Linked DNA regions of Caenorhabditis elegans. The protein of the gene in region 2 purifies or fractionates together with the protein of the main gene of each other region. This does not show direct contact. Each region holds a gene or a part of one and is shown on either strand. Other genes may lie near its edges. The genes, in order: chd-7, tag-191, nog-1 and dkc-1.

Evidence for each region.
Region 1: the proteins of tag-191 (region 2) and chd-7 fractionate together in Caenorhabditis elegans (co-fractionation; one large-scale study listed by BioGRID). This does not show direct contact.
Region 3: the proteins of tag-191 (region 2) and nog-1 fractionate together in Caenorhabditis elegans (co-fractionation; one large-scale study listed by BioGRID). This does not show direct contact.
Region 4: the proteins of tag-191 (region 2) and dkc-1 fractionate together in Caenorhabditis elegans (co-fractionation; one large-scale study listed by BioGRID). This does not show direct contact.

The regions. Positions count from the first base shown.
Region 1 is NC_003279.8:4,694,480-4,702,742, reverse strand, and holds the start of chd-7 (Chromodomain and Helicase Domain protein), read left to right. Parts: upstream 1-4,167; 5' UTR 4,168-4,308; coding exon 4,309-4,318; intron 4,319-4,855; coding exon 4,856-5,241; intron 5,242-5,553; coding exon 5,554-6,066; intron 6,067-6,691; coding exon 6,692-7,357; intron 7,358-7,404; coding exon 7,405-8,263.
Region 2 is NC_003283.11:14,532,268-14,540,221, reverse strand, and holds tag-191 (Protein kinase domain-containing protein), read left to right. Parts: upstream 1-3,847; 5' UTR 3,848-3,912; coding exon 3,913-3,975; intron 3,976-4,022; coding exon 4,023-4,163; intron 4,164-4,709; coding exon 4,710-4,828; intron 4,829-4,875; coding exon 4,876-4,957; intron 4,958-5,000; coding exon 5,001-5,051; intron 5,052-5,097; coding exon 5,098-5,349; intron 5,350-5,399; coding exon 5,400-5,655; intron 5,656-5,699; coding exon 5,700-5,776; 3' UTR 5,777-5,817; downstream 5,818-7,954. Other genes in the region: kcnl-4 (Calmodulin-binding domain-containing protein), read right to left, coding at 1-13.
Region 3 is NC_003282.8:392,042-400,547, forward strand, and holds nog-1 (Nucleolar GTP-binding protein 1), read left to right. Parts: upstream 1-1,838; 5' UTR 1,839-1,897; intron 1,898-1,975; 5' UTR 1,976-2,013; coding exon 2,014-2,064; intron 2,065-2,105; coding exon 2,106-2,711; intron 2,712-2,762; coding exon 2,763-3,920; intron 3,921-3,976; coding exon 3,977-4,207; 3' UTR 4,208-4,379; intron 4,380-4,503; downstream 4,504-8,506. Other genes in the region: uncp-18 (Syntaxin-binding protein 1), read left to right, coding at 1-72, 265-515, 558-807, 855-997; T07A9.15 (Cytochrome c oxidase assembly protein COX14), read right to left, coding at 1,193-1,291, 1,344-1,448; rrp-8 (Ribosomal RNA-processing protein 8), read left to right, coding at 4,504-4,569, 4,623-5,081, 5,881-6,012, 6,066-6,232, 6,672-6,879. UniProt on the Caenorhabditis elegans protein: Involved in the biogenesis of the 60S ribosomal subunit. Has a role in regulating longevity, growth and brood size. May regulate fat storage via the insulin/IGF pathway.
Region 4 is NC_003281.10:10,746,861-10,754,070, forward strand, and holds dkc-1 (Putative H/ACA ribonucleoprotein complex subunit 4), read left to right. Parts: upstream 1-1,568; 5' UTR 1,569-1,581; coding exon 1,582-1,629; intron 1,630-1,687; coding exon 1,688-1,774; intron 1,775-1,816; coding exon 1,817-2,295; intron 2,296-2,344; coding exon 2,345-3,068; 3' UTR 3,069-3,220; downstream 3,221-7,210. Other genes in the region: GTP-binding nuclear protein ran-1, read right to left, coding at 30-122, 170-358, 406-527, 575-700, 749-866; enu-3.6 (ENhancer of Uncoordination), read left to right, coding at 3,628-3,744, 3,906-4,466, 4,515-4,661, 4,710-4,844; Chromobox protein homolog hpl-2, read right to left, coding at 5,464-5,694, 6,100-6,171, 6,543-6,696. UniProt on the Caenorhabditis elegans protein: Plays a central role in ribosomal RNA processing. Probable catalytic subunit of H/ACA small nucleolar ribonucleoprotein (H/ACA snoRNP) complex, which catalyzes pseudouridylation of rRNA.

The DNA.
Region 1 (8,263 bases), on a different chromosome or scaffold from region 2:
TAGATATAACATTTCCAGTTGCTTAGCATAGATTAATTTCCTCACGAGATTCGTTGGAGCTCTCTAATCCGATCATTCACCATCACACTTTTGATTTCGAAAAGGTGAATTAAATACTTTGTTTTCCCCCTCCAGAATGCACTAATCCGGGCACGATGTTTCGACTTTTGCCATTTTTAATCCTAGCCAATTTGCTCGTGATTCTGTGTATCCGTTTAATGAGCTATGAGCACCTGGCAGTTTTGCATTTTCATTTCGAAAGCCATAGTATCAGGAGGAAGAATGAAATGAAGCCTTGTTATTTACGAAAGGAGATTTGATGACATGCCTGAAGGATTTTAATTTTTTTAATATATAGTTTTTTTGGAAAAATCAGTTGATAAGTGTCAAGGGAGCAACATAACAATTTCAAATTATAAACTAAAATTTTTTAATGAGAAAATTAATTTCAGTAAGATCAGTTCTGAAAGGCACGTTTGTAAATCAACAGATAAATCTGTAAATTTGTGATCTAGATTTATAATATTTTCTTTCTTTCCAGAGAAGATTTCTAGATTCAGTCACTTAGATATAATTGGGTTTCGCGTCTCTAAAATTTTTTTAGCTCTAGTTTTAAAAAAAATCTTTAAATCTGAAATGTTCACCAGAATATTCAGCAGCTTCTGAAAATTTTTAGCATGTGGGTAGGACTTTACTATTACTCAGCAGCAGAGCGTAAAAAGTTGAAGAGACGCAGACATATCGGGACCCAGAGGGAAGAGTCGAACTTATGTAGATCTACGTCAATAACGCTCCGTAAATCTACACAACTTCTGCTCTTCCCGCGCCACGCCCCCTGGGTTTCAATATGTCTGGGTCTCTTCAACTTTCTACACTTTACGGTTGCGTAATATTTTTACTCTTCAAGAAAGAAAATACTATTTCTTATTTAGACCATAAATTGTCAAAATTCAATCGAAACTTTACACTTAGACAATAACGATGAACTAATGGTCAGAAAGTGGAATTGTCTTATCATTTCTTATCAGTGATGATGCTCTCTCTCTTTCTCACTATGTCACTATCATTCATTTAGGGGGGTACCAATCGGCGGTGAAAAGCAAAAACCGCTCTTTTTCTCATTTAAACAGAACACACACAGACGACGCTCACACTGCGCTCACTCTCAAACACACACACATACACACCTTTGGCCGCTCATAACCAAAACGTCTGGGGGCGCACCTCTGGGTGGTTGAATTGGGAGGACCAAACGGGGGGAACAACGTGTGAGTGTTTTATGAGTTCCTTCTTTGCGCACACTCCACCGCTCACACAGAAAAAGAGGTCTGCGCAAGGCAAGCATCAGCAGCAGCAGCACGCTCTCTCTCTCCCTCTCTCTCTCTCTCTCGTAATAGTAGTATTGGTTAGTAGAAATGGAAGGAAGGAGGAGGTGGAAGAGACGACGACGCAGAGTAGTGGTCAGAACATGATCAGAGAACAGGTGAAATTGAGAAGAGCAGATGATAGACTATTGGAGAGTAGAGAGACGGACAGAAAGAGATTGTGCGCGTTTTTGTGGTGTAGAGAGGGGAAAGGGTTGTTGGCCAATAACACTCACCGATAGACAACACAGCAAAAACCAAGTTGCACATGCTTCTTCCTTTTTTCTTTTTTAAATCATATTTTTCCTATTGGTATTTTGTGGGATTTTCGGATTTGGATAACGACTTTTTTTCTGATATCATTATTATTTATCAAACTCATGTTCAGGGGATCTGTATATGGAGAATTCCATATGCCGAACTGAAATGTACTTGACCAGTAGTGTCAGAGTTCTCCCTTTCGGTTTGATCTACCAGAATTGTGGGAATTTAGATGACATCACATTTTTCTGAATTAAAAATTCCGATTTTTCTGTAGATCAAACCGTAATTGGAGAGCCTAAAACCAGGTTCTAGACAATATCTTCCGCCCTTAAAATTTCAAATTTTCCGCTACTTTTCTTTTGACTGGAATTTCCTGATTAAAATATGCGGTACTTCGTAAGAGTAAATAAATCGGTCCCTGTCTCGACGGCTTCACCATTTTCTGGGGGCCAATGTCGTCGGCGCGTCCTTTCCGTCCATTTGAACAGCTTGGCAAATTGCCAACGTTCTCTCTTTTTCTCTCGCACAGAGTCTCTACTGGCCAACTTGGCAAAATGCCAACTTTGGCGTTGTATCATCTTGTGTGATTAGGAAGTTCCTATGTTTTCCATTACTTCCGTAGAATTCGGAAAAAAAAATTCTGAAAATCTGTACTACTGCGATGTTTCATTTTAGCTAGCGAGTCGAGTCCGCTGATCAAATAAATATCTAGAGCTAAATGAACTGATTCATTTTTCGTCTACTGATGAATATGAAAGTTTGTGACGTAGAATTCATCTGTTGTTTGATGTCATGTGGCTGGCCAATTGGGTTTTCTCATTATCAGGTCTGCAGTTTATGTTGGTTTTATCTGTTTTTGCTTCAAGATTGATCGAAAGTTTTCTCGATAATTTGAAAGATATTTAGTAGTTTTTAAGAGTTTTTGGGTTCAACAAATTTGTAAAAAAATGTTTGAGGGGGAAATGAATTTTTTAAAATGAAAATACATCAATTATTGTGAATGCCCAAATGTTAGGTCTCAGCACGAAATCTTCTGTTTCTTTTTCTTCCGTTTTCCTGATTTTGAAAGTCTATTGTATTTAGATATTCCAGTTACTGAATTTGTTTAAAACTATATTTATTTTCGAAAAAAAAAATTTTCCAGAACAAAAACTTGACAGTAGGGCTTACAGTAACCATGGTTTCATCTTTAGAATGGTCAGTCTGGTTAATCGAGACGCAGTTAATCACTTGTTCGCTTCGTTTCTTCGATAAAAGAATGAATTGTATGTGAAAAAAAACACTTATCCTCGTTTTTCTCCTTCTACTCATCTCCAAAAACCAAAACCTTCATCATCATCTTCAATTTCATCTTGGTCAACCACCACCACCACCGCCGTCCTCCATCTCCTCCTCGACTCGATCCGTCCGGCGTCCTCCATCCTCATCATCATCATCATCAACAACATACCGGGAAGGGGACACAAATGTCCCAGCAGCGACCAAGAGGGGGTCCACCCCACACACATAGCACCTCTACTTTCTACATCTAACCCTCTTTCTCTGTGTGTGTGCTAGAATCGATTAGAAGAGTTGAGAGAGAAGAAGAGACGACCAAACAGCAAGAGATGATGAGAGAGTGCTCAAGCTCGGAGAGAGACATTAGACAGTGGGCAATGTGTGAGAAGGAGAGAGTAAGAGAGTCGAGAGAAGTGTCCTGGTCTGTGTGTCCGTTTCTTGTGTTCTTCTTCTTCTTATTCCTTTTCGTCTTGCCATGTCTGCATCTCGTATACTATAATACTATTCCCATGAACTCTCACTCTACTCATTCGTCCCCCCGTTTTTTTTTCTCATTGCCATTGCATACGCACTACACACACACATACACTCACCATCAAATTGAAAACGAAGATTCGTTTTTTTTTGAAGAACAAAAAAACTTCCTTTCTTTGGGTTTTTTCTGGCCTTTTTTGGTTGATGATGACTGTTGACGATAACATCTTTTTTGCAAAAAAAATTCGCGTCTTTTGGTTCTAGATACTTCCTTCCATTTATGTCTCCATTCGATTCCATAATATATTATTTATTCTGAAAACCTTGTAGCCCGATTCAAAAGTTCAATATTTTTTGTTCGCAACGAAGCGCATTTCAAAAATACGGTACCCGGTCTCGACACGACAATTTTTCTTTGGAAAAATGCTCCTTTAAAGAGTACTGTAACTTCAATATCGGAATTTTTATCGATATTTCTTTTTCTTTTCGATAAACATGTATTTATTACAACCCAAACATTTTTAAGAAATCATAAGAAAAACTATGAAAAATGTATTTAAATTATGTTTTTGAAACTACAATACTCTTTAAAGGCGCACATATTTTTGTATTTATCTAAAAAAATAGTCGTGTCGAGACCAAGTGCTGCTAAATTTCTAAAAATCAAATAATATTTTTCTTTTATATCTCGAACTACCATCTTTCTTTTTTCTTTTGTTTTTTCCTATCAATAGTGAAATAATCGGTCCTCAACATTTCAAATTTATTAATTTATTTTAATTTTCAGATGATAGGCTGCTGAATTAATATACAAATTCAAAAAGAAACAGCTGACGCATTGTGAAGAATTGGATTTTTTAAATTATATATTTTCGCTTTCTTTTTGTACAAGTTAATCTCATTATAACCACATAACCAAACACACAAAATGGATGAAGGTGAGTCTTTTTGGAAACATTTGAAAATTGAATTTATTTAAGTTCGAAATTTTTTATAGTATTGTAGATTCTTGAAAAATGTAATTCACTTTAGAGGTGCAAAGGGTCTTGCAACTATTTCTAGCATTTTTACAATCGAAACATTTATGTAACGATTTTTACTGTTTAGGGTCTCGACACGACTTTTTTTTTATTAAGTACAAACGTGTATGTGCCTTTAAAGATTACTGTAACTCAAAAATTTCGTTTCTACGAATTCTTCAAAGTTTCTCGTTAAAAGTTGATATATTTACTAAAAAACCAAAATAAATCACATAAATTTTAACAAATCGTGAGAAAAACTGAAAATCGAGGAAAATTCCGCAGCAACGAGAGTTTGCAACTACAGTACTCTTTGAAGGCGCATACCTTTTTTAAGATCATACAATTTAGAGTCTAGGTAATATTACATTTTTTGTTGCATAAGAAAAATTAATCATCATTTTAATAAAAAAAATATCGAATTCTAGTTTTGGGAATTATTCAAAATTTTTGCAGGCGACGACTACGTTCCACAAATGTCCCAAATGGCAGATTACACAATGATGGGCGGCCCGCCACCACAACAATCTCAACAATCTCAGCAGGGCGTTCCTCAACGGTATCCAGGTCAACCGATGAATCCATATGAACAACAACAACAGCATCATCAAATGATGATGATGCAGCAACAACATCAAATGCAGCACATGGCTCCACCACCACAACAAGTACCACCACAGCCAGCTCAGCCACCACCTGCAAAAAAGGCACGTGGAAAATCAAAAAAGGCTCAGGCAGAAGCGGCGGCGGCTGCAGCGGCGGCAGCAGCTGCACAGATGGATCCGATGGCGTCGATGGCGGCAATGTCGAATAATCCAATGATGAGACAGGGTGGATATCCGGTAAGTAGTTTATTTGGAAAATCTTGGAAATAAACTGCCTAAAAACTTTATTGATAGAAAAGAGCAGTTTTGGGATTTTGTTTTAAATAATAGACTACATATTAAAAAGTTAAAATTTTTTAAATTGTCTCGAAAATTTTAAAATTTAAATTATTTAAATATAAATATTCGATCATTTCAGACTATTTTCCATTATTTGAAAGTTTCAAATTGAAACAAAATCCCAAAACGACTCTACTCGACCTTTAAAATTATGAATATTTTATTTAAATATCTAAAGAATATCACTGACTCCTCTCAAAGTATTTTCAGAACCAAATGGCGATGTACGGCGGCGTTCCACCACCACACTATCCATCATCCAATGGTCCATCACAACAAGGGTACCGGCCAGGACCCGTAACAAATGGACCACCACCGCAAGGACAATATCCACCACCGCCACAAGCACCTCAGAACTATCAACAAATGTACCATCAACAACGAGCTCAACAACAACAAGCCGGCCAACAACAAGCCCAAGGGCCACCCGGATATGGTCCATATGGTTATGCACCACAGGCATCCACTGGATATCCACCACCACCCTCCCAACAATCACCGTATGCTCCACAAGCGGGACCTCCTCCACAGATGAGGCATCAATATCCACCACACAGTCAACAACAGGCACCACCAGGATATTGGGATGGTTATCAGGGTTACGGTGGACCACCACCTTCACAACAGCAGCAACAGCAAGGAGGTGGACCTGTGACGGCGCCTCAATCAATGCAAATGGCACAACAGGAACAATGGGGAAGAGTTGGAACCAATGATTTGATGGTGAGTTGGTAGTAGGAATGAAAATGCGAGAAATTGCAAACACAAACAATGAAAAGTCAAAATAAAGCCTCTTCTGAAAAACAAATTCAAATTCATCTTGATACTTGAGAAAAATTGAATTTTGTAGGTTTCACGTATAATTCTTTAGACTATTTTGCAAGAAATTTCCTACAATACGGTCAAAATATTATTGCCTAAAACCAACAAAATTCGATGTTTTTCAAACATTCAAAATATATTTGAATTTCAAATTTTAATGGATTTTTCGTCTTTTTGAATTGATGTGCAAAATATCTCGTAGCGAAAACTACAGTGATTATTTAAATGAATACTGTAGATTTACAGGGCTCGATTTTTTAAATTAGCAAAAAATGAGAAAATACGAAAAAGCGAAGGAAAATGGTATGTAGCTACTCGATAGAATACTCGTTTCGAAAGTCGAGCCCATAAATCGATATAAGAGCTACAGTAGTCATTTACACAATTACTGTAGTTTTCGCTACGAGATATTCTGCGCGTCAAATATGTTGCGCATTACGCATTCTCAGAATTTCGGGTTCCCGTAATATGTGTTTGTGGTTCAAATTTTAAAAATAAAAACTAAACTAAATCACTTATTTTTCAGAACGTCATTGCTCAAGTGGAAAAATCATCTGCAGAATGCAAGGCACGAATTCAACAACTCTACAATATGCAACGAAGTGCGTCGGCTGACGCAGAAGTTCAACAGCTGCAACATAAACTTGCTCAGTTCCAAAGTGATCATTATCGGTACAGCCAACAGCTTCAACACGTGCAGTGGCAACAGCAGCAACAACAACAACAAGCTGCTGCTGCTGCAGCGGCGGCCGCAGCAGCTGCATCTGCTGGCGGACATCATCAAGGACCACCACCACCAACGTCTTCCCAATCGAATCAAATTCCATCGAATCCGAACTCAGTGCCAGTTCATGTGAATCAACCTGGAAGTCAAGTTCATATAACCGCTGATAAGACGAGGACACTGATATCTGTCTACCACGATGGTTACGGAGGTGCGGGATCTGGAGCCAGCTCCACTGAAAGCAAGGAATCTATTGTGCCGCCTGAGCCAACTCCGTCTATGCAAGAATCACCGGTTCCAAATGCTCCACAGGTTAAGATGGAACCAGAGAAACCATCGCCGTATCAGCAACAGTATAATGGAATGGAGAATGGTTCTGGAAATCCGTATGCTCAGCAACAACAGCAGCATCCGATGTATGCACAGTATCAACAGCAGCAGCAGCAGCATGCTCAACATCAGCAGAACGTAAGCTTGTAATTCCTAATTAATTCTTAAATTTTTGAATATTTCAGATGTCTGGATATCCTCAACAGCAGCAACAACCTCAACATCCTCACCAGCATCAACAGCCTGCTTCGGTCCCAATGCAACATCATCCTCAGCAACATCCATCCCAACATCAAACCCAACCCAACCAACAACAGCAGCAGCACCCATCCGGATACGGTATCGGTGTTAGTACGGCGCCGGCTTCAATGGAACCATCACAATCAGTGGATCAATCAGCACCACCGAGTCAAGCCCAAATTCCGGCAACTTCTACTCCATCGACATCATCTCAACAGCAGAACGCCTACCCGGAGTTTCCTGATTTTCCATCGTCGTCAGGATATCAAGAGCCTACTGTTGCTCCTGAAGCCATACCATCTCCATCTGTATCTGATCCGATAATGCCACAGTCTTCTCAAAACGATCAAGAACTTCAGGCAATTAGTGATCAACAGGAAATTCTAGAGGACGTTCCGAAAGAAGAACCAATAATAGAAGAGGATGAACCAAAGTATGAGTATTCTCAAGAAACGATTCCAGTTGAAGAACTGAAAGATGAAGTGGAATTTAAAGAGGATCAACAATCAACTTCGAATCTATTAGAAGATGATACAGGAATTGATAATTTTGTAAAGAATGAAGAAGGTGCTGAAGCGGGTTATAGTAATGGAACTCCTTTGGATCAAGTTGAGCAGAATGATTACGAAAACATTGAGAAAGAAGAGCCACAAGTGTCAGTAGATCCCGAGCCCGTGGAAGTTGAAGCTCAACAAGAACCAGCAGATACTGAGGAATATCCTATCCCATCTGTTGGAACAATTGAAGAGCCCGCCGAAGAGCCCGCTGAAGAGCCCGTCGAAGAGCCGGAGCCAATGGATGATA
Region 2 (7,954 bases):
TCCCAATCGGAACCTGGAAAATATATCTATTTAAAACATCAATATCAATTTCCATTAATAATCCATACATTTCTGTTTTAAATTTTAATTGACAAACATATTCAGAAGCAAATTAAACGTAATCCCAATTTTTTAGAACAAAAATCTGCTTATTTTTCAAATTTTCCACTTTTCCAAATTGGTAGATTTTAAATTTGAAATCGACAGTAGCGTTCTAAAGTTAAAAGCTAATTTTAAAGACATGAAAATCACTTGCTTGCCTACAAAGTAAACGTAAGCTACCTTTAAGGTAAGTTCCTATCCTCATGTAGGCATCCATATAGGTACAACCTACAAACATTTAGCCTACAAACATCAATTATTCAGGACATGCCCTCAACTAAAAAGGGACGTTATGTTCATGGAGTTCAGAGATTTTTGCACAGAAATTCACAGGAAATCGTGCCTTTTTAAAAAGTAGATATGTTCAAATACTCCAGTATAATACTCTAATCAACCACTACAAAATGTTTTATTGAGACTAATTTGATTCCAGTGTCAATTGATTATTTCTCACTTTATTCTATTGATTTTCGCATTCCTCATTCGCTAGTATCTTGCAAGACTCTTGCTACCTCTAACATTAGAACTAGACTCTTCCTTTTGATCGTAAATATCACGTGCTATGTGTTTTACGAATTGTGTTGACTGTTTGATAAAATTAACAGTGAGCAAACATGCTATTCGGAAGAAAATAGAATGTAATTGAAAAGAAGTTTGTGGGGATTATCATAGGTTTATGAGGAAATAGGAATGAATAATTGACATTTAAAAAATTACTGGGAAAAAGTGTATAAAATGGGAATCATACTCATTGATAACACTTTTTTTTTCGAACTAAAATGATTTTTTTTCAAAAATTATTTTCTCTAGAATCAAATAAATAAGTTTGTTCTTATAGTGCCCAGATGTGCAAAAATCACAGGAAACAATTTCTAGAAAATTTTGATTTTTTACCAAAGAAAATTAGCTGAAATTTCATATACGAATTATGTTTTACTTGTTTGTATTAACAAAGGTTAAAGCTTGAAACATTTCTAAAAAATTCCAAAATTTCTATTTTTTTCGAACCAAAGCTGGAAAACTGAAAATTTTGAAAACTCTAAAAATTGTTACAGTTTTTAATTATAATAGTTGGTCATGTATGAAACTATAAATTTATTTGTTAAAGTTAAGCTATTTCTTTCTTTTCTGATATATATTTCTTTTAAGTTTTGAAAACCAGAATTATTTGAAAAAATACTAGCTAAATTAGGAAACCAAGCTCTATATAATCTGAAAACCGAATTCAATTCTCTCACGATTCTCAAGTGGTCCTCTCTAATTCACCGAACAAAATTCTAGTCTAAACCAAAAAAAAAGTGAAAAAAAGGTAAATACTAAAAGTATAAAAACCAAATAGAATTTTCCAAAAAAAGTGACGTTTGGCAAAAAAAAAAGTCCACGATGAAAAATGTAAGAAGATGATGGATAAATGATGATGGAAGTGGGGTCAACAGACGGAGGATTTCGTGTGAAATTTGAGTAGAGCGATAGAATTTTATTTTTTTATACGTTCACTAGACCATAGGGCATTTTAACTAGGGGTTTTTGAAAATATAAATGCTTTTCTAGGTTCTGGCACTTTCACTTTCAAGTTAAAATTTTAGGAAAAAGAAACACGAATTTTATTCGTTCCGGGAAACATCCAGTTAAAAGTTATCTAAATTTTGTCATCGTATGCTATTTCCAGACATGTCAGTAAAGCAAAAGTTGGTAATCACAAAAAATTGTTTATGTAAAACCATTGCGAAACCAAGACCGTGATATGGGCTGCGCTTGTTTTAGGAATTTTCAAATATACTTGAATTATTAATACAAAAAAGTAGTTATCAGTTAAGTGAGTTTTGCAAAAAAAAAAGCAAAACACTAACACACAGCTAAAAGTAAAAAAATCGTTTTTAGGAGTTGCAACTCCATTAAAAATACTAATCAATATTTATATTGTTCTGCTTGTACAAATATCATAAAAAATGAAAAATAATCCAAAAAATGTAATAATCAGATAAATCCTCCTATTAAGCTTCTATGTTGTTCGCTGGAATAAAGAAAGACTGAAGAGCACAAGAGAAAATCTCCCACGAAAACTGCTCCAATTTCTTATTTTTTCTCGCCACTGGACGAAAATTCTGGTTTTTTTTTCTGTTTGGTGCTGCACACGAGCATGTCTTCGGCTGGGGCGACAAGGTTTTTCCGGAGTATTCATGATTAAAACATTACGGAAGATATTAATGATTGAGTGTGGTTGGAGGGAAAAGGTGTCAATGAAGAAAAACGTGTAATAATTTTTTTTGACTGTAGAAAAGTTTTTTGTAGAATTTGCAAAATACTGGGGAAAAAAAGTTTAAAAATTATAGCAAGAATGGAAACGCACAAATATTTTTGAAAAGTTAAAATTTTAATTTCAAAAATTGAAAAAATGTTCAATACTAGATTTCCAGTTGAAAGTTAGATTTCACATTATAAAATTCGAATTTTTGGCCTTTTTTAGACCAGTGCAAATGAGCCAACAATTTTTCTAATTTTTGACCATTTTAAAAAGTTTTATTGATTAAAAAAAAAAGATTTATAATCATACAACTAAATTATAAAGTAATTTGATCAATTCCCTGGGGTCTTTGCATTATTTAAAATTAAAGAACACAGAAGAAGCACATACAGAGAGTGAGAGAGTGAAGATAATTACACGGACCTAGTGGATATTCAGAAGAGGCACTCTAGATCTCTAGACAATTTAAATGTATTCTCTGGGTGCACCAATTTCTGCTGTTGCTTTTTTGTTCTTATTTCTTACATATGTAGAGTAAAATAAGTAGGTTATAAAAATGTAAGTAGGATGGAAAAGAAGTGGTAGGAGAGATGAGGGAATAAGTTTACGACTCTAAGAACTCTCCTCCACATGTTCGAGTTTTAGTTATTTTCCACGAAAAAAGTTGAATTGATTTCGAGAAATGGGAATTCTTGAGTCCCAAACAACTAGAGGGCATGAGAGTAGTTTAGATTTAGTCAAAGATATCAGAAATTGTGTTGGAAAAACATTCGGGCGAATTAACAGAAAAACCTAGACCTGTCAGTTTATTCTTCGAATTTCGCAGCTTTAACTTGAGCTACTTGAGCAACTTTGGGAAGTGGGATCTATCAGTATGCATAAACAGAAGGTAGGCAAACAAGAAAGCAGGTGCCTAAGCCTAAAGTGCCTACCTAATGCGAGTGCCCTAACTTAAACATTTTTTTCAGAGACCAGTGAATAGCATTCTGTAAAGAAAAATGCTTATCATATTATAAAAATACCAGTTCCCAATTTACAGATGTTCTTATCAATTTTACTTTTTTGTTCACCCATGTATGTCTACTGATACATTTTTTGTTGATTTTGAAAGTTTTCAAAATTATTTGACTTCAAAAATGCCTAGCGGCCGACAATTGACAGGCTCGAGGTGAAGTCTAATTTTTGGTTTCACAGGAGCAGGCAACACCTCCCGTGCCTACGTTTAAGGTTGTTCACAGAAACCTGACGAAATAGGTAGGTATGCAGGCAGACAGGCAATATTACTTGAGACGTGCTTGTTACTGCTGAAACCCATGCCATGGTTTTTAAAAAAGTCGAAATATTTAATTTTCAAATTTCGAAATTTAAAGTGAAATTTTTTTACACTTGAACACACGTTGCCTAGCTTTGAACACACGTAGCCGACGTTTTTCGAAAGTTGTTTTTTTTGTGTTTCTCGTAGCTTCACAAAATTTATTAATCATTACTCGCTCTTCCTCCACTTTACGGCGGAAAAAGTGAAATTTTCGGCAGTTTCTCGAAAAATATTTTTCAATTCAAGCAAGATGCCAGACGATGTGTGCGACGAAACATTGAAAATTGGAGTGGTTGTTGGGAAAAAGTACCGAGTAAGTTAAACTTTACCTCGTGGCAAGCAAATTTATCGGTTTTTCAGGTTATCCAACAGCTGGGTCAAGGCGGCTGTGGATCTGTGTACAAGGTGGAGGACATCGAAGACAAGACAAAGCAGTACGCGATGAAAGTCGAGTTCAACTCGAATGCCAACGCTGGAAATGTTTTGAAAATGGAGGTTCAGGTTAGTAGACGAAGAAGTTTCTGGTTTGAAGCAGCTGTGAGATGTCGGGAGCTTTCAAATGGCAAGGTTACCGGAAATAGTCTCTGCCCCGTGAGGTGTCTGTCGCTTACTTTCAACTCTTTATAACTGCCGCATTGGACAGTATTGCGAAAACCCTTGAAGTGTCGGCTATTCGTTTCCCAAGAGAAAATCAATAGTGCGCTTGGCTGTGAAGAATGCTAAAATCCGTGATGTGTCTGCTGCTTGTAAGATCCATAATGAGGCAGTCGTACACATATTGGTTGAGACATGCTGATGAGGAGCCGTGAAGTGTCGGCTGCTGGGATCAGTATTAAAATATACTATATTCCGGCAGGTTTTCTCTGCCGTAATGGCGTCTGTAGCTTTCCCAGTAGCTTCTGACAGGCTGGGAGTAGTGCAATGTTTCAGGATGCTTTTATCTGACCCTTTAGGTGTCAGTGACTCTAAAATTGACATCTTATCATGTCATTATCTTATCATTATTAAGTATATACTGCCTATTTGATTTTAACGTAGTGGTTCCAGATCCTCACCCATCTTGTGTCTAAGAACCACGTGGCAAAATGCATGGCAAGCGGAAAAAAGGATCGATACTCGTACGTGGTGATGACCCTTCTCGGCGAAAGCCTTGAATCACTTATGAAGTGAGAGAAAATTCAAATTAAATCGAAAAATAATTGCTGAATTTCAGGAAACACGGACCATTTTTCAACGTGTCTACCCAAATGCGCATCGGGATTTGCCTTTTGTTCGGCATCAAGCAGATTCATGATGTAGGTGGAAGCAGTGGAGGCTGAATATCAATTTAACTTTCAGATTGGGTTTATCCACCGTGACTTGAAGCCTGCCAACGTGGCATTGGGAAATGTAAGCTCCTACTCTAAACTTCCACAACTTTATTCTCTGTTTTTAGAAAGGCTCCCCTGACGAACGCTACTTCATCGTGCTGGACTTTGGCTTGGCACGCCAGTACATCACGGATAAGGAGGACGGAAAAAAGATGCGTCGCCCACGTGAGAAGGCTCTCTTCCGTGGCACCTCCCGTTATTGCTCGGTAGCTATGCACGATCGTTTCGAGCAGGGGAGAGTCGATGACCTGTGGGCTTTGATCTACATGCTCGCGGAGTTGAGATGCCAGCTGGCTTGGTCTGATTTGGATGATAAGGTTCGAAACGCGATGCTCTCTCACTTCAATGTCACTAAAAAGTTTTCCAGGTCGAAATCGGGGAAATGAAGCGACACGTCGCCGACCAGAATCTCTTTGCAAAAAGCCCAATTCAAATGCTGGAGTTTGTCAAGATCGTTCGGGCCACGCAATTCTATCACCGCCCCGACTACGAAAAGCTTTTCAATCTCTTGAATGATGCCATGAAAAGCGCGAAGTACAAGTGGTCCGACCCATATCATTGGGAGCCCGAAAAGAGAAAGAAGAAGCCAAGTGTTCCAGCAGTTGGAAATGTCCCCAGAAAAGGTAACATATTGTTTTTTAATTCTTATAGTTGTAACAGTTTTCAGGCGTCACACCACCATCAAATGAGGAAGTTGATTTTTTCACCGTCGATGACTTCAACACAAACCCGCTCGGATTCTAGAACTTCAAGATCTTATGAATAAATTTTTAGATGTTTAACAGTTTTTTTTGAGTTACAATAATTTAAAAAAAAACAAGTTTTGCATTAAGATATTAATATTTTCGGAAGAAGAGGGAAGAGGGGAGGTAGAGGACAAGAATTTACCGTTCTCACAATTTCCTATAAAATCATCATAGACTTTCCCCAGAACGTCATTATTCTTTGTTTTCTCTTTAATTCTCAATCATCGATTCAAAACCAGTAGGTCCATTTTTCGATGAATTGAATAAACACATATTTTTGTAGGAGAAGAAGTCTGAACTGAACTGAACTGAAGAAGAGTGAACTGGAACCAAAAACGGATTAAAAGTTGAAAGAAAAAGAGAAAGTGGGTGAGAATGAGTGCAAGAAAAATGGAATGACTCTTTTCGCTTTTGATGTTGCACACCTGAAAAAGAAAAAGAGCCAACTCTTTCAATCTGCACTTTTTGTTGCAGGTGTTATTCGGGAAAAAATCTAGAAAGATTGAGAACAAAATAGAAATTGGAAAAGAAATACGTAGGTGAAATATTTTTTAGTGAATGAATGGAGAATGTAAAAAACGCCTTCGCCTTTCTCTTTTGCCTACTTTATTTTCTTTTATTTTCGATCTTGCTTTCAAGACGGCCTGCTTCATTGATGCGTACTGCCAAGTTACTTGCTAGCCTACAAAATTCGCAGGCGAATAGGCGGCAAGTAGGTACTAGGGCCTGACTAGATACCTTGGCTCAAAGAAACTTTTCCAGTAAAAAATGTGAAGAATAACGTCATATTTAGTTGCTCTCGAGGACTTTGATCAAGCTTTTGAAGCCATACAAATAGTTATGCTTAACGCTTTAAAAACAACTCTGTGATATAGTTATCTTTTGCAATTAAAATAATTTTTTTTAAATTTGGAAATAGACTTACTATTAGAGGAACAAAAAAAGGTCTGCAAATTTTATGTTTTAATAGTGCTTTCATTATTTCCATTTGAAAATTGTAGGAGCTCGCAAAAGCCCCATTTCCAGAATATCACAAAATACTAAAGTTTTTTTGTGAAAATTTGGCAATTTACCAAAACATAGACTGAACATTTAGAGAGATCTAAAAAAGTTTAGTGTTACTAATTGTGATTTTCTGCGATATTATATTATTTTACGATAGTTTCCTATTAATGCCACTTATGTAAATCTGTAAAAATAGAGATAAAATATGTTTTTATTGTTAGTTGATTTTTTTTTTGGTTAAAAAGAACACCGAGATATGCGTTTGCAAGGTAATTTTTGAAGGTAGTTTTTTTTTTAATGCGGAGTTCAAAAACAAGATAGAAGCATAAAAGTTCAGTTCAACTCAAAGGAAGATGCAACTATGAAAAATCTCGTTTGAAAGGTCTCAAACGGAAATAAAATCATTTCTAAACATACCTTCTTCTTCTTCAATCTCTTGCAATTCCATATTCTTCTGTCACTTTTTCTTCTTTTTCTTCTTCGAAGTGCTTCTCATTGACGACAGGAGGACAATAGACTTCTCATCAGGAGGTTCCCACCGGGCTCTACTAGATTTCAATTCCAACTGGACAAATAATGACACACAAGAATCTGTGTGATCCGATGTCTTATAAGGGAAAAAGAATTGGAAAAGCAATTGGGGGAGGAAGTAAAGATTATTTCGATTAAATGGAACTGAAAGAGAATGGAACTAAAAATTGATAGAGAGAGGTGTGTGTGCGTGAGCAAAAAGCGCTCGAGTCGCCTGTCTTTCTCCTTTTTTGCGGATATATAATCATTGATATCAAGTTGTGTGTGTGTGAGTGTGTTAGGAACAGACGAATATGAAAATAGCGTGAGAGATGAAGAGACACCAGACATTTGCAGCTGGATGAAAACGACTCAACCGGGTTGAGCTGGATTTTCAATTTCCAAACAGATCAGGTGCCTTTTATGAAAAAGTGATGTAAGGGAGGAAGAAGAGGATTTGAAAAGAGGAAGTTAGTGGGAGAAAAAAGGTATTTTTGGAATTTTTTGTTGCGTGATACTGGTTTTTAATGCCTTTACTTCAGATTTATGTATATGTAGGTTGACTGATAGGTTTGAAAAATTTTAACAAAAAAATATAACAACTTAAAGAGAAAAGTATAGAATACGGTTGTTACAGTAGTTTGACCGCAGTCAAGTCTGA
Region 3 (8,506 bases), on a different chromosome or scaffold from region 2:
AAATGGCAGCGTATATTAGTTTGACGGAAGAATGTCGATCCAAATATTTTGATTCTTTAGAAAAAATTATTGGTAAATAATTTTATAAATAATTTTAATTTCAGTAGATTGTGGGAAAAACTTTTGAATATTGATGAAAACTCCAAAGCAACAAAAGGAGCGCATCCTTTTGAACTTAGCAAACAATTGTAGCGGCGCAAAAATCACATAATCTCGCGTATTTATAATAAACATTTAAACGAGAATTCACTGTCATCATTTCAGCTTTGGAGCAAGATATGGCCGTTGAGCATACGCCGGAACACGTACGTATCACGGATTCTCAAGCAGTTGGACGACTTTCCACGTTTATTTTACCAGCAATTCCGACTGAAACTCGTCTTCGATTGATTCTCATTTTTATGTTGACTATCGGAAAGGATAAAGATGAACAATACTTCAATCGACTTCTACATCACACCGATATTCCTGAATCGGAATTTCAGATTATTAAGAGAATGCTCATTTGGAGAGATGTCAGAGTCTTTTTTAAAATTGTATTCATCTTCTTTTTTCAGAAAACTCAGAAATCTCAATTCCAACATCGCCGACCACCACCAGAAGACGAGAGGTTTATCGCGAGTCGTTGGGATCCGAAAATCAAAAATCTTATCGAAGAAATTTACGAAAGACGATTGGACGAGCGGGAGTTCAAAGTAGCTGGTAAGAAATCGACGTCTGACTTCCGGCCGGCAGCAAGTGCGAGATATGGAAGTGGATTGGCTGGAAAACCACGCGAAAAACGAAAAATTATCATTTTTGTCGTAGGTGAGGTGATGTTTCGTTGATATATTCTGATTGGAAAGCATTTTCAGGCGGAATCACATATTCTGAAATGAGAGTCGCCTACGAGTTGTCGAAAAAGACGAACACAACAGTAATCCTGGGATCAGACGAAATTCTAACGCCGTCGTCTTTCCTGGAGTCGTTACGAGATCGAAATACTGTAAATTGCTGAAAATACTGTATTAATGTCCCCGAATATCGCTTTGTTTAAATAATATTCACAAAAAAATCTCGTTTTTCCATGTATATGATGCCATTTTCTATTTATCTCAAATAAACCACAGTTTCTATGAAAACAAAAACCTTCATTCGTAAATTATTAAGTCTCGTTACGTGGAAGTTGTAAAATCTATTTAAATTGCCTTTTCTATTGCCGAACAATTTTTCCGCGCGCCTGATTTTCTTTAAACCTCAAATAATCTTCCATTTCCTGATGTTGAAGTCGTGGAGCTGACATTGACCATTTCTAAAACAATAGAAATTTATCTTGAGACAAAATTGATTTTTTTTTAGCTCACCCGAATTTCCATAGCACCGGTATAGGCACAATACGCACCAGTTGTCACAAGCAAGAAAAGTCCAGAAGCGTAAGCATGAGCTCGAATTTTAGATGGAATTCTCATTTTTACGGATATTATGAGAGAAGGGAATCGAGGTTGCGTCAAAAATGTAGAATCGTTAAGAATTTACTCGGGTACGGTATGCAACGGTGTTTGCAGACTAGCAGGCTCATACACTTTCACGCGCAATTGCACACTTTAGGGTCATACGACTTATTTTCTCCATCAAATTTTCGTCAATTTTCGAATGTTTTAATATTTATTTGTGATTTTAATTCGTATATTCTGATAATTCTAAATTAAAAACTTATTTATACGGTCACATTAACTTATCGGCGAGATTAATGTTGCAGAAATTGGCGTTTCTTCCAGTTTAGGCCTAGAGTTAATTTTAAACAAATTTGCACAGTTTTTGTAGCGTTATTCTTTTATCATCTGTGTTAACAATTTCAGACGTTCATATGGAATTGTAAGGAATTTCAATCTCCGGAGAGGGGTCCTTCTGACACGGGGTATCTTGTTTTGTTCAATGTATTTCTTAATCCCTAACCTTTCACTTGTCATTTTCAAAACTTTACAACATATTTCAGAATCAAACAAGGGTTACACACAGTCGTCATTGCTCAAAATGACGTCGATGTATAATTTCAAGCGAATTACATGTGTTCCCAATGCACAGGTTTGTTCTTGTTCTGATCATTGAGAAGTTATATTTTTCAGGAACTGAAAGATGTGGTTCTCTCAAAAACGCAACGCAAAACACCAACCGTCGTGCATCGCCAATATTCGATTGGAAGAATCCGTGCTTTTTACGCAAGAAAAATCAAGTTCCTACAGCAAACTCTGCATGACAAGCTCACGCAAATCATCACAGAGTTCCCGAAAATGGAGGAAATTCATCCATTCTACTCGGATCTTATGAACATTCTCTACGACCGTGATCACTACAAAATCGCTCTTGGACAAATGAACACAGCTCGTCATTTGATTGACGGAATCGCCCGTGAATACGTTCGTTTGATGAAGTACGCCGACTCGCTTTATCGTTGCAAAATGCTCAAAAGAGCCGCACTTGGACGTATGGTCAAGCTGCTAAAGCGACAAAAGTCCAGCTTTGAATACCTCGAGCAGGTCCGTCAGCATTTGTCTCGCCTTCCAAGTATCGATCCAGCTACTCGTACTCTCATTCTTTGCGGATTCCCAAATGTCGGAAAGTCTTCATTCATCAACAATGTGACACGTGCTGATGTTGAAGTTCAGCCATATGCTTTCACTACAAAGGCTCTTTATGTTGGACATCTTGACTATCGTTTCCTCAGATGGCAGGTAAGTATTAAGCGAATTTCTTTTGAACCTTGATAATAATTCACTTTTCAGGTTATCGATACCCCCGGAATCTTGGATCAGCCACTTGAGGACCGTAACACCATTGAAATGCAAGCAGTTACCGCATTGGCTCATCTGAAAGCATCAGTGCTCTTCATGATGGATGTTTCAGAACAATGTGATCGTAGTATTGAGGAACAACTTCATCTCTTCGAATCGATCCGTCCATTGTTCGCCAATAAACCAGTTCTTATTGGTTTGAACAAGGTTGACATCAGACATCGATCTGATTTGCCACCAGAGAAAGCTGCATTGTTGGATCAACTGGAGAAGGAAGGAATTCCAATTATTGAGACATCTACACTTACACAAGAAGGAGTTATGGGACTCAGAGATCGTGCTTGCGATGAACTTTTGGCCCAGCGTGTTGAAGCTAAAATTCAAGCCAAGAAGATCACAAATGTCGAGGATTGTGTGCTGAATCGCGTATTCGTCGCCTACCCGGCTCCACGTGACGAGAAAGTTCGTGCTCCATTTGTTCCACCAGGTTTGGCCGCAAAAAGAGCTCAGAAGAAATTGCAAGAAGCTCAAGAGCTCATGGAGACTGATGGAGATGAGTTCGCAGCAAAAATTCCACAAAAACCAGGCAAAATTGGAAAGGAAAAGATTGCAAAGGGTGGATCCCAATCCACCGATCTTGGAGATCTTCGTGATGAGAACACCCGTCGTTTGGAGAGAGAAATTGAGTTGGAAATGCAAGATGATTATATTCTGGATCTTAAGAAACATTATATGCTGAAGAATCCTGATGAGAAGTACGATATTGTTCCCGAAATCTGGGAAGGACACAATCTTGCTGACTTTGTTGACCCGGAAATCCAGTCAAAGCTTGAGAATCTGCTTCGCGAAGAGGAGCTCTTGGAGCAAGCCGGAGAGTATGAATCAGATTTGGATAGTGATGATGAGGAGACCAAGGAGAAGTTGAAGCTTGCATTGCAAATCCGAGAAAAAGAAAAACTGTTGACTTTGGATCATGCCGTTAACAAGAGAATTGCCGGAAGAATTGGTTCACGTATTCATGGTTCAAGAAAGAGAGATCGATCAATGTCTAGATTAGAGAATGAGCTCGGAGAGTTAGGTGTAGATGTTGACACGAAGAAAATGAAGAACTTGCAAGGACAATGTGCCAAACCACAACTTGGAAAGAAGGTTTGTGTAGAACCGAAATCTATAATTTCGGTTTCAAATTAACATAATTTTTCCAGATGAAAGTGGGTCGCTCGCGCAGTCTCAGCGCCGTCCGTCCGGCTCCACGTGATGAGTTGGCATTCCCAGACGAGGAAAAACGTGCACATGTCGACAAGTTGCGTACGAAAGCAATGCGTGGATTGCGCCGAGAAGCCAAGAAGGGAGAAGCCGATCGTCACGTATACGACCTCAAGCCAAAGCATTTGTTCTGTGGAAAACGTGGAAACGGAAAAACCGATTGGCGTTAAGAACATATATATCTTTTGTTCATTTTTTTTTTGTTATTTTTGTTTTGTTATTCTGTTCGTTTTTTTTCGTCTCCCTGCTTTTTATTCCTTCCAAAAACTGTATACCCATCCATCCATTTTTACCTTCTTCTCACTGCGTCAATCGGCTTCTCGCCCACATGAGTTTCCCGAATAAAATTCTTCCTGATATTTTTGTAGATTCTGAATTATTTTTTTTCTTCGATATTGCACATTTTTTAGCATTCCGTTGAATTTTTCGCTGTATTAGAAAAACTATTTTTTAATTAACTCTTCAGATGGGCAAAAAAAGAAAGATTACGGATGAAAAGGATGCTCAACACGTGCCAGCTGAGAAACGAGAGGTTAATATCACATTTTCAAAGAAACGTAGTTCTCAAACACAAATTAATTGCAGAAAGTAGAAAATTGGTTAAAGAAATCTACGGAAAAACCAACAAGTTCACAATCTGACGCTGAAAAGAAAAAGAAACGTCCATGGCGTAATAAGGTCCGTAAACTTGCCGCAAAAAAGGCAGCAGCTGACAAGAAATCTGAAAATCCAGAAGAACCTCCGCTGATTCTCGAACCAAAGAGTTCTTCGGATGAAAATACGAAAAAGAAGAGAAAACGGGGCCCAAAAAAGAAGAAGTTCAAGCCCGAAGTTGCTGGAAAAGCTGCTGAAACTGAAAATGATGACGTGGCAGCAGCTCCAGAAGAAGCAGATCCAATTGCAGAGGCTAAAAAGAGACTTGACGCGGGACGATTCAGATTTCTGAACGAAAAACTCTATACATGTACTGGTTCTGAAGCATTTGATTTCTTCAAGGAGGATCCGACGGCTTTTGATCTATATCACAAGGGATTTGCTGATCAGGTAAACATTAATTGGTATCTCAGTTTCACAACGAAGCCTTTAAAATGATATATGTGCCATTTGAAGGTGTTCCAAGAGTATATGTTAAAGGTGGAGTAGCGCCAGTGGGGAAATTGCTTTAAAACATGCAAACATATGGTACCACAATGACCGAATATCATGATAAAAAAATTCAAAAATTTTTTCTAAATTTTATATGATTTTTTGAAAATTGAAAAAATCTCAGTTTTTGCCTAATTCCTATTTGAATTACCGCCAAGTGGATTTGTTCGATGAAGCGCGCTTGCACGTTTTTAAATTTATTTATTTTGTTTTTTGTTGTTTTCCACCGATTTTTAATGTTTTCGGTGTATTTTTGCTCGAGTTTTAGAGAAAAAGTCAAAATAAATGAAAATTTTCGATTAAAAAGCACGCTTTTCTCTAAAGTTCGAGCATACACCGAAAAGAATACACCGAAAACATTAAAAATCGGTGAAAAATAACAAAAAATAAAATAAATAAATTTAAAAACGTGCAAGCGCGCTCCATCGAACAAATCCAATTGGCGGTAATTCAAATAGGAATTAGGCAAAAACAGATTTTTCAATTTTCAAAAAATCATATAAAAGTTAGAAATTTTTTTGAATTTTTTTATCATGATATTCGGTCATTGTGGCCCCATAGGCATGTTTTAAAGCAATTTCCCCACTGGCGCTACTCCACCTTTAATGCAAAATTTTAAACGGGAAAGCTATACTCTCAACCCCTAAAATGAGCGAGAAAACTTTGTCTTGTCAGTTGTGAACTCTCAAATTTTCAGGTAAAAAAATGGCCAAATCACCCACTCCGCGAGATTATCCGCTGGCTTCAATCCAAACCGGATCAACAATCAGTATTCGATTTGGGTTGTGGAGAGGCTAAAATTGCAGAAGCCGTTGGAGAAAAGCATAAGGTTCATATAATTCCCTGGAAAAATCACATTACATTTCTCATGTTTTTTAATAGATTCGCTCATTCGATTTGGTTGCAGTGAATGATCGTGTTGAGTCGTGCGATATGTCGAAACTTCCAGCTGAAGATTCATCAGCTGATATTGTTATTTATTGCCTATCACTGATGGGAACAAATCTTTATGATTTTATTCGAGAAGCTCGAAGAGTTCTTAAAATTGGGTAAACAAGCATTTCAATTTAAATATAAGCAGACACCGTAACCGAGAGTGCCTTTTTCGATTTATCGGTGTTTTTCAGGGAAAATCGAAAAATCAGAAAAATAAATAAATAAATACAACCATAAATTCGATTTTTGTCGGTGGTTTTTTGGGTGAGGTTCTCAGGATTCTTGGGTGAGGCTAGGAATTAAGTTGATGTCACGGGTGGCATTTTTCACTTTTTCGATGTTTTTCAGGAAACTAACATTTTTCGATTTTCCGGAAAATCAAATAATCAAATAAAAATGTTCAGAAATAGTCATAAAATACCATTTTTACCAAACTTTGCTTATATTGATGAGAAAAAACATAAAAATTCTTCTGTAAAGAAGAGAAAAAACCAAATTTTCAAACTAATTTTTGAAAAACAGAAAATTTATTTGCAAAAATCAATTTTTCAGAGGAATTCTCAAAATCGCAGAAGTCACATCTCGTTTCGTGTCAATCAAACAATTTTGCGAGGCGATCACAAAAATGGGATTCGAGCAATCACACCGTCGTGAGCTAACCGATTACTTCATGATGATGGAATTCAAGAAAGTCGAGAAAGTTGAGCAGAAAAGGCCATACGGACTCAAATTGAAGCCTTGTTTGTATAAGAAACGCTGATTTTTTGATTTTTTGTTGATTTTTTAAAAACGATGATCATTGGAAATGCGGTTTCCCGTTTTCAAAGATTTTTCATCAGTTTTCAATTGTTTTTGTTGTTGATTTTGAAATTGCTGCCTATTCTGTTCTGATTTTTCGAAAACTAAAAATCTTTGAAAAATGAATGTAAATTTATAATTCTATTTTCGACCATAAAATTCAGATTCTCTAAATATAATCACCGTCATCATGGGATAACTACAATCTGACAGAAGACAGAGACTCGAGAAAATGTGAATACAAATTGGCTGATATAGATTTTTTCAGAAGCAAGTAGTCAGTTTCTTTGATTTTAATATTATGATACCCAATTTTGCGACTTTCGATACGTAGGTCTCTAAACGATCGAAATTTTACAACTACAGTACCCCCGAATTTTTTTTTGCGATTTTTGTTTTCCAAAAATTCAAAGTCCAAGTTCTACAAATGTTGAAATATTAAGCAATTTTGGTGCAAGCCAGGAATGGGCGGCAACTGTCGTTCGGCAAATTCGATAATATTTGCCGGAAATTTTCCAATTCCGAGAAATTGCCGGTTTGCCGATTTGCCGGAAATTTTTGTTTTCGGCAAATTGCTGATTTGCCGTTTGTCGGATATCAGATTTGTCAGAAACGTTGAGAGCGATTGTTTAAAGACGGAAACTCTTAAACTGTACCTTTTAAAAATTTTTCATGTTTTCTTTAGATATTTCATATAATTTCTACACTTTTCAAAATAGATGTAGGAACATTCATAGGATGCGTACAATTTTGCCGATTAAAATTGAAGTTCTGAAATTACTTTTAAAAAATGTACATATTTTCGGCAATTTCCGGTTTCCGACAAATCGGCAATTTATCGGTTTGCCGAAATTTTTCAATTCCGGCGATTTGCCGCTTTGTCGATTTGCCGGAAATTTCAATTCCGGCAATTTGCCGGAAATTTCAATTCCGGAAATCTGCCGCTTTGTCAATTTGCCGGAAATTTCAATCCCGGCAATTTGCCGATTTGCCGGAAACTTCAATTCCGGCAATTTGCCGATTTGCCGGAAACTTCAATTCCGGCAGTTTGCCGATTTGCCGGAAAAAATTCTACATTTTTTATATTGCAATTTTGTTTGAATTATTCGTGTTAAAACATTGTAGGAGTCGAAACATACGACATTGCTTTGTATTTCCTCAAAAGCTCATATGTTTCAAAATTTTGTAAATTTGCCAAAACTTTTAGATTTTTCAACATTTCCGGTCAAAGTTTTTGGAGTGTTTTATTTTAATATTCGGTCGTTTTGGATCTTTATAAGTGTATTTAGGCAAAATCTCTACAGACGCTACTTCCACCTTTAATTATTGAAACAATTCAAAAGTGTCCCAAAAAATCACCGTCCAAATGCCTGCGTCTCTGCGCGGAGACACATCACAATTCAAATGATGTTTGTTTTTTTTTTGGCGCCAAAACTTCTAGAATTACCAAGTTAGCTATTTCAATTTAATATTTTGATTTATTATCAATTAATTGAACCAAGATTTCAGAATTTAAATTTTTTTTGTACTTTTTGGTTACCGTATTTCCTCTACAAATATATCCTGACATACTAATAATTTTCAAAGTT
Region 4 (7,210 bases), on a different chromosome or scaffold from region 2:
AAAACAAGGATTTTGAAAGGTTAAAGTGTTTAAAGATCATCGTCGTCATCTGGAAGATCAGCCTTGGCGGCGTTGTCCAGATCCTTTTCGTATTCGGCAATCATGGCTGGGTCCATTTGAACCTGGAAATTAAAATATTGCTTATGAAAGAACATGGATTTAAAAATACCTCTGGAGGAGCCAAAGCTGGCATTGCGACAAACTCGAGGTTTGGATCTCCGAGCAGCTTTCTGGCGAGCCAGAGGAATGGCTTTTCGAAGTTATAGTTCGACTTTGCGGAGATGTCGTAGTATTGGAGGTTCTTCTTTCGGTGGAAGGTGATGGTCTTGGCCTTCACTTTACGGTCCTTGACGTCGACCTGAAATTTGTAATTGAATATATTGGCCAGTTTCAGCTAGTGATTACCTTATTTCCGCAGAGAACAATTGGAATGTTTTCACATACTCTGGCCAAATCGCGATGCCAGTTCGGGACATTCTTGTAGGTGACACGAGCGGTAACATCGAACATGATAATGGCGCATTGTCCTGGAAATTGGGCATTTCAGAAGTTATAATTTCGAATTTTAACATACCTTGGATGTAGTATCCGTCACGAAGACCACCAAATTTCTCCTGTCCGGCGGTGTCCCAAACGTTGAAACGAATTTGTCCGCGATTGGTGTGGAAGACAAGTGGGTGAACTTCGACTCCGAGAGTGGCTGAAAACAATTATTGAACTGGGAGAAACAAATTCCTGAATTACTTACCAACATACTTCTTCTCGAACTCTCCAGTCAAGTGACGTTTAACGAAGGTAGTCTTTCCGGTTCCTCCATCTCCGACAAGGACAAGCTTGAAAGTTGGGATGCCGTCTCCACCAGACATGACTGAAATGAGGAGATGAGGAGAATAAAATACGAAGGAAAAAGATTGTCAAGAGGAAAATAGCACGAAACTTTTCGAAAATGCGAATTATTGCGAAATTCTACGTATTACCGAAGCTTCAGTTGAAAATCACGAAGCGGTGGATAAATATTTCAAAAACAAGAATGTTCGGATAATGTGTATTTAGAATTGAGCAAAAAAGTTTTAGAAGAGACGTGAAGCTGAGCAGAGAGATTATCTCGTGATCAGAGCTTGCTCATGGAGCAAAATCAGAGAGAACTCGAAAATTACAGTGAACCAACTGAGGAAACAACGCAAATGCATCAAAATGAATGAAAAAACCGAAAAAAGATGACAAAACTTGGCGCCAGGGACAAGAAAAGTATTCGAAAATGGCGCAACAAGCCAGATTTGCGCGCCAAAATGAACAAAATTCGAAAATGTTTTTGCGTAGAACCCCGTGTGTGTTGAGGCATAGGGGCACACACGCAGCCTGTGTCTCTTTCGTCTGGCACACTGCCAATGGGGGTTTCTTCTCTCGTTTTTCAAAAAATCGATAGTTTTCTGGCAGGTTTTCTGCTTCTTGACACTTTCCACGAGCTTATGAGGCATATTTGGAGTTCATTAGAACCTTATTAATCTTTAAACTCTTGTTAATCGCTTCAGAACTGTTGGATTTTGTCAATAATGTTATTTTTTCAGCGAAGATCTCATCATGGGCAAGAAGGATAAGCGTTCCAAGCTTGAGGGAGACGATCTAGCTGTTAGTTTTTAATTTTCAAGCCATTTATTAAATATTGAGTACATTTTCATTATTTCAGGAGGCTCAACAGAAGGGATCATTCCAACTTCCATCCTCGAACGAAACCGCCAAGCTCGATGCTTCCCAGTGGCCACTTTTGCTCAAGGTAGTTGAGTGATCTCATTTAAAAATTAAATTATTATTTCAGAATTACGACAAATTGAATGTGCGCACCAATCACTACACACCACACGTCGAGGGAGTATCACCATTAAAGCGTGACATCAAGAACTACATTTCGTCTGGATTCTTCAATCTTGACAAACCATCGAACCCATCTTCTCACGAAGTCGTGTCCTGGATCAAGAGAATTCTTCGTTGCGAGAAGACCGGACACAGTGGAACACTCGATCCAAAAGTATCGGGATGTCTGATCGTTTGTATCGACCGTACCACTCGTTTGGCCAAGTCGCAGCAAGGAGCTGGAAAGGAATACATCTGCATCTTCAAGCTCCACGAGGAAGTTGAGGATGATCGCAAGGTGAAGCAAGCCCTCGAGAAGCTCACCGGAGCCCTCTTCCAACGCCCACCACTGATCTCAGCTGTCAAGCGTCAGCTTCGTATTCGTACCGTTTACGAGAACAAGTTCATCGAGTATGATCCAGCTCAACAGATGGGAATTTTCAAGTAAGAATCCTTATAATAAATCTAATTTCTAGTTTTCATTTAATTTCAGCTGCATCTGCGAGTCGGGAACCTACGTTCGTACAATTTGTGTGCATCTCGGTCTCATCCTCGGATGCGGAGGTCAAATGCAAGAGCTTCGCAGAAACAGATCCGGAATCTGCGATGAAAACGAGAATATGGTCACAATGCACGACGTTCTCGATGCTCAGTATCTCCTAGACACCCAGAAAGACGAGAGCTACATGAGACACATCGTTCGTCCACTTGAGGCTCTTCTCACCCAGCACAAGAGAGTTGTTGTCAAGGACAGTTGCATCAACGCGATCTGCTACGGAGCCAAGATCCTTATTCCCGGAATTCTTCGTTACGACGATGACATCGAGGTTGGCAAGGAGATCGTCATCATGTCGACGAAGGGAGAAGCCATCTGCATCGCTATTGCTCAGATGAACACATCAACGATCGCTTCAGTCGATCACGGAGTCGTTGCCAAGTCGAAGCGTGTCATTATGGAGCGTGATGTGTACGGAAGAAAGTGGGGACTTGGACCGGTTGCATCCAAGAAGAAGCAAATGGTCAAGGACGGACTTCTAGACAAATTCGGAAAACCAAATGACACTACTCCAAAATCGTGGGCCAAGGAGTACGTTCAAACTTCGACGAAGAAAGAAGTCAAGAAAGAGGAGACGCCAGACGAGGAAGAGGAGGAGGCACCGAAGAAGAAATCCAAAAAGTCCAAGAAGCAAGAGTCGAGTGATAGTGATAGCGATTAAGCTCATTTTTATGTTTTTTCTTTTTTAAATTACCTCTGTTGACTATTTACTTGTTGTTCAAAAATCTTTTTGTTGTTATTCATTCTAAACATCGTTTTCCTTGTTGTACCAATTTTGTTGAACATTTGAACTTTATATAAATCGGATTTTCGAAAGAAAAAACGTGTAGAGATCAAATAACATAATTTAGGAGTTTCCAGGCAGTGTCGACAACGATCGGACGTCGAAAAAATTATTTTTTTTTCTTTAAAAAGAACATTTAGATTTTTAAATGAGGAAAACCATTCTTTTAGCAAAGAAAACAATTCATTCGAAAAATAAATTGACGTGGCCGACGTGAATTTACGAGGCCCCACCAAAACAGGATGCAGGGGGGGACCTATTCGCAACCACCGCACACGTTTTTTCTTTTGAAAAAATGCAACAATATCATGGAAAAAACGTGCGAGGCTTGCGAAAAAAGTGTGCGGTGGTTGCGAAATAGGCCCCGAAATAAACAAATTATAACTTAAATTAGTTTGTGAAGTCGGTTTCTCTCCGACACACGCGTCACATAAAAATGTGTATTTGGCGTATTTTGTCTTCATTGGCAAAGCGAGAAGAACAAGACGATCAGCAGCACAAGGATGAGGAGAAGGAACGCCGGCGGTTGGCTTATGGAATTGCCGCGAATCCGGTACGTTTTATTATCGATTTTTTTGCAACGTGGCCTAGAAAAAGCGAGAGCTCGGCCAAGATATTTGAAGGTGGCCGAGTTTTCGCATTTCGCGGCCACGACGTAAAAACGGAATTATTAGCATTGAAAGAGCATTGAAAAAACGCAGTTTTAAATTTCAGTATGTGGTAGAAGAGATCAAGACTCCCAATGGAAACGTCACAAAAGTGATGGAGAAACGACGATCCGCGGTGGCCCCGCCCATCACACCAGCCCTCGGAGCAGGCTCGACCAACGGACCATACGAGAGTCGGACCAAGACCGCTCAAAAGGAAGAAGCAATGAGCTGTCACTTGCAAGTGATCGCCGACAATTGGGGACGTGGAAAGGAGCTCATTTCGCTCATCAATGATTTGGATCTCCCTGCGCCGCTGGTGACGACAGAGGAAAAGGCGCGGTACGCTTTGGAGCTCGTGCAACATCATGTGGAGAAAATGACCGAGCAGAAGGTTTTCCTGCACGGATATCTTGATGATGGACCGCCGTTCGTTTGCTCATCGGAGACCTTGGCGAAGGAGATCTTCAGCGATGCCCGTCTTGAGCTGAAGCTTGAATTGACGTCACCGGTGCACATGAAGATGGACGTGTTCTCTGTGAAATTGGAGCCACAACAGAAGACAGTGCTGCCAGAACCCACCAAGGAAACGCCGAAAACCGACGCTCTCCTCACACCGGGATCTCATGTAAGTTTAAAGGCACACGCTGGGTCTCACAACGATTTTTGTTTTCAGATTAAGGGAAGATCAATGGCGGCTGAATCGTCGAAGCGCAAAGCCCCGAAGCTGCCCACTGATTTGACGAACTTGGTCCCACTGCTCCAACAAGCTCAGATGCTTCCAGTCACCGAAAAGGCCACCAAGGAGAAGCTCCAGACTCCGGTTAGCTTAAATCTCATGATGTTTTTATCTAAAATTTCAAATTTTCAGAAGCAATCGCCAATGCCAGGCACCCCGGAAAATACGTCGCTCCCACCGTCCTTGATTAAGAAGAAGAAGAAGGAGTCGACATCGAAACAAGCAGCGCTGGAAGCGTTCGTCACTGTGGACAAGCCACACGATTGAAGTTCTTCTGAGCCCCCGACCGCCTCTCGTGATTTTCCCCCGTTTTTAGGTCCTTCATTTTTTTTATGGAGCCCCATTTCCCCTTTTCTATGCTCATCGTTCCCCACAATTGTATTATTTATGACCTCGTATAGTCCCATTCTTTTTTCAAACTCCCCGTCCGTATTTATTTCCCCACACAATTTCACTTCTATTACTTTTCTCTGACAATAAATTTTTTTTTGTCAAATTTTGTTTCTCTTTCGACATCAAGGAACTTTCAGTTTAATGATTTAGTGGGTTACTGTAGCTCTTAAAGGCGCACTCATTTTTTACGGGCGAAATTCAGGTGTTTCTAGGAAGTCTGTTTGCCATCATATTTTATCAGATTTTTTTGGCCGAAAAATTTGTTAGTCGATGCACCATGAGTTTTGTTCTCGATGTTCTTCATTTTTGTGGGATTTTCTGCAAATGCAGAAAATTTGTCGATGCACCATGAGCTTCTCAGTGTTTCTAACATATTTTTTATATATATTTCTAAAGAGATTTTTGTTGTACTATCCATTATATAAAGATAATGTTCAAACTTTATATAAATCGGATTTTCGAAAAAAAAAAGAAACAGCGGAGATCAAATAATTTATGAGTTTCTTGGGAACAAGAGACTGTCATCATCGTCTGGTACAGTGTCGACAACGATCGGACACGGTGGCGGGCTATTCGAATTGTCATCGAAAACGGAGAGGATGGCCGCCTCGTGAACTTCTCCATCGCCAGAGTCTTCAAGGAAATCTTGTGGGAAGCTGGAAAGCAGATCTCCATTGGCCGCCATGTGCATATCATTGAGCATATCGGCCGCGGTTTGCTGAAACTGAAGAATGGTTTAAGGAAGCACGTGGAGTCATACAGTCCCTTTTCGCTTTGATCTACGAAAAATGCGGGAGAAGAGACGCAGACATCTTATCTGATTTTGCATGGTTAAGAGCGTTCTGACGTCACATTTTTTCTGGGAAACAATTCCCGCATTTTTTGTAGATCAAACTGCAATGAGACTTTCTGACACCACATGAGGAAGGCTATTTTTTTGGCGAAAAAATCCCGAAATTTACAATTTCTGACATTTTTTTATTTACTAGAGATCGATTTTTAAACGAATTTCAGGAATCTCTTTTACAAATCTATGTTTTCCTTTTTCTTTGAAAAATCGATACATAGTGTTCTGTAGTTCTTAAAGGCGCGGCCTCAAAAAATATTTCGTTCGTGGTAAGACCCCTACCGCTTCAGTCATCTCAACGTCCTGCGATATTTTCGATTCCTTCCTACGTTGCAGCTCGTGTTCTTCGGTTGTCTGGAATTAAAATAAAAATTTTGAAAAAAATTTCAAAAATTGTTTTTTATTCTAAAATTAAAAATACATAATTTTGTTCCAAAAAAAGTTTCTAAACTACTTTTTCCTTAAGAAGAATACCTAAAAGAATTCAAAATTCGCAAAAAATTAGTTTTTTCTCAAAGATTTAAAAACAGTATAGTTTTAAAAAAATTTCTCAAAAAAAATGTTTTCCCAAAAAAAAATTTTTTTTAATTAAAAAAAACATTTTTCGAGAGGTGTTCAAATTTTGGACCTTGTGTAGAGACTGTTTTTTGGAAACATTTCAGAGAAAACTTTTTTTTTTCATTTTTCTCAAAATTTTCTCCTTCTAAAACTTCAAATTTTCTCACAAGAATTCGATGTCCCGGTGGCATTTCAGGCCACTCATCATCTGCATCATCTTCCTCAATCGAACGCTTCTTCTTTCCCTCGGAAATCCGTTTGTGTCGTCTCTCCATCTTTTTCTTCAGAAATTCGCCGTAAGCGTCGACGAACGGGCGGTATCTGTATGGAAAATAGAATGTCGAATGTAATGTGTCTCAAGAAATTTTTATTGATTCAATAATATTTAGTCTCGATTTCAGGGGTTAGCACAAAAATTGGTATAGATTTTACAAGATAATTCAAAAAGAATATGGGAATGAGATGAGAGAACATGATATTGAACACGTGTATCGGGGTGGGGAGTGATTAAAGCTCGTCGGCTTTTGGGTCTTGGATTGTTAGCTTGGATTCGTAGTATCTGATAACTTGGCTCGGATAGCTGAAATTTAGAGCTTTTTTAAATGCCAAATTGAGGTTCGCTTCCTAGCTAAAAACTCTAGCGCCGATCGGGATTTCAGTTTTAAATACGCAGAATAGTCAGAAAAATTTTGAATGTTTGAATTACCGCGCCATGGTTTTTATCAATTTAAACGCAATTGTTCCGTTTTTCCTCGAATTTCTTAGTGAAAAAGTCCAATTTTTCATATTTTTCGTGGTATTTCGGTATTTCGGCACTTATGTGCAGTACAGCCGG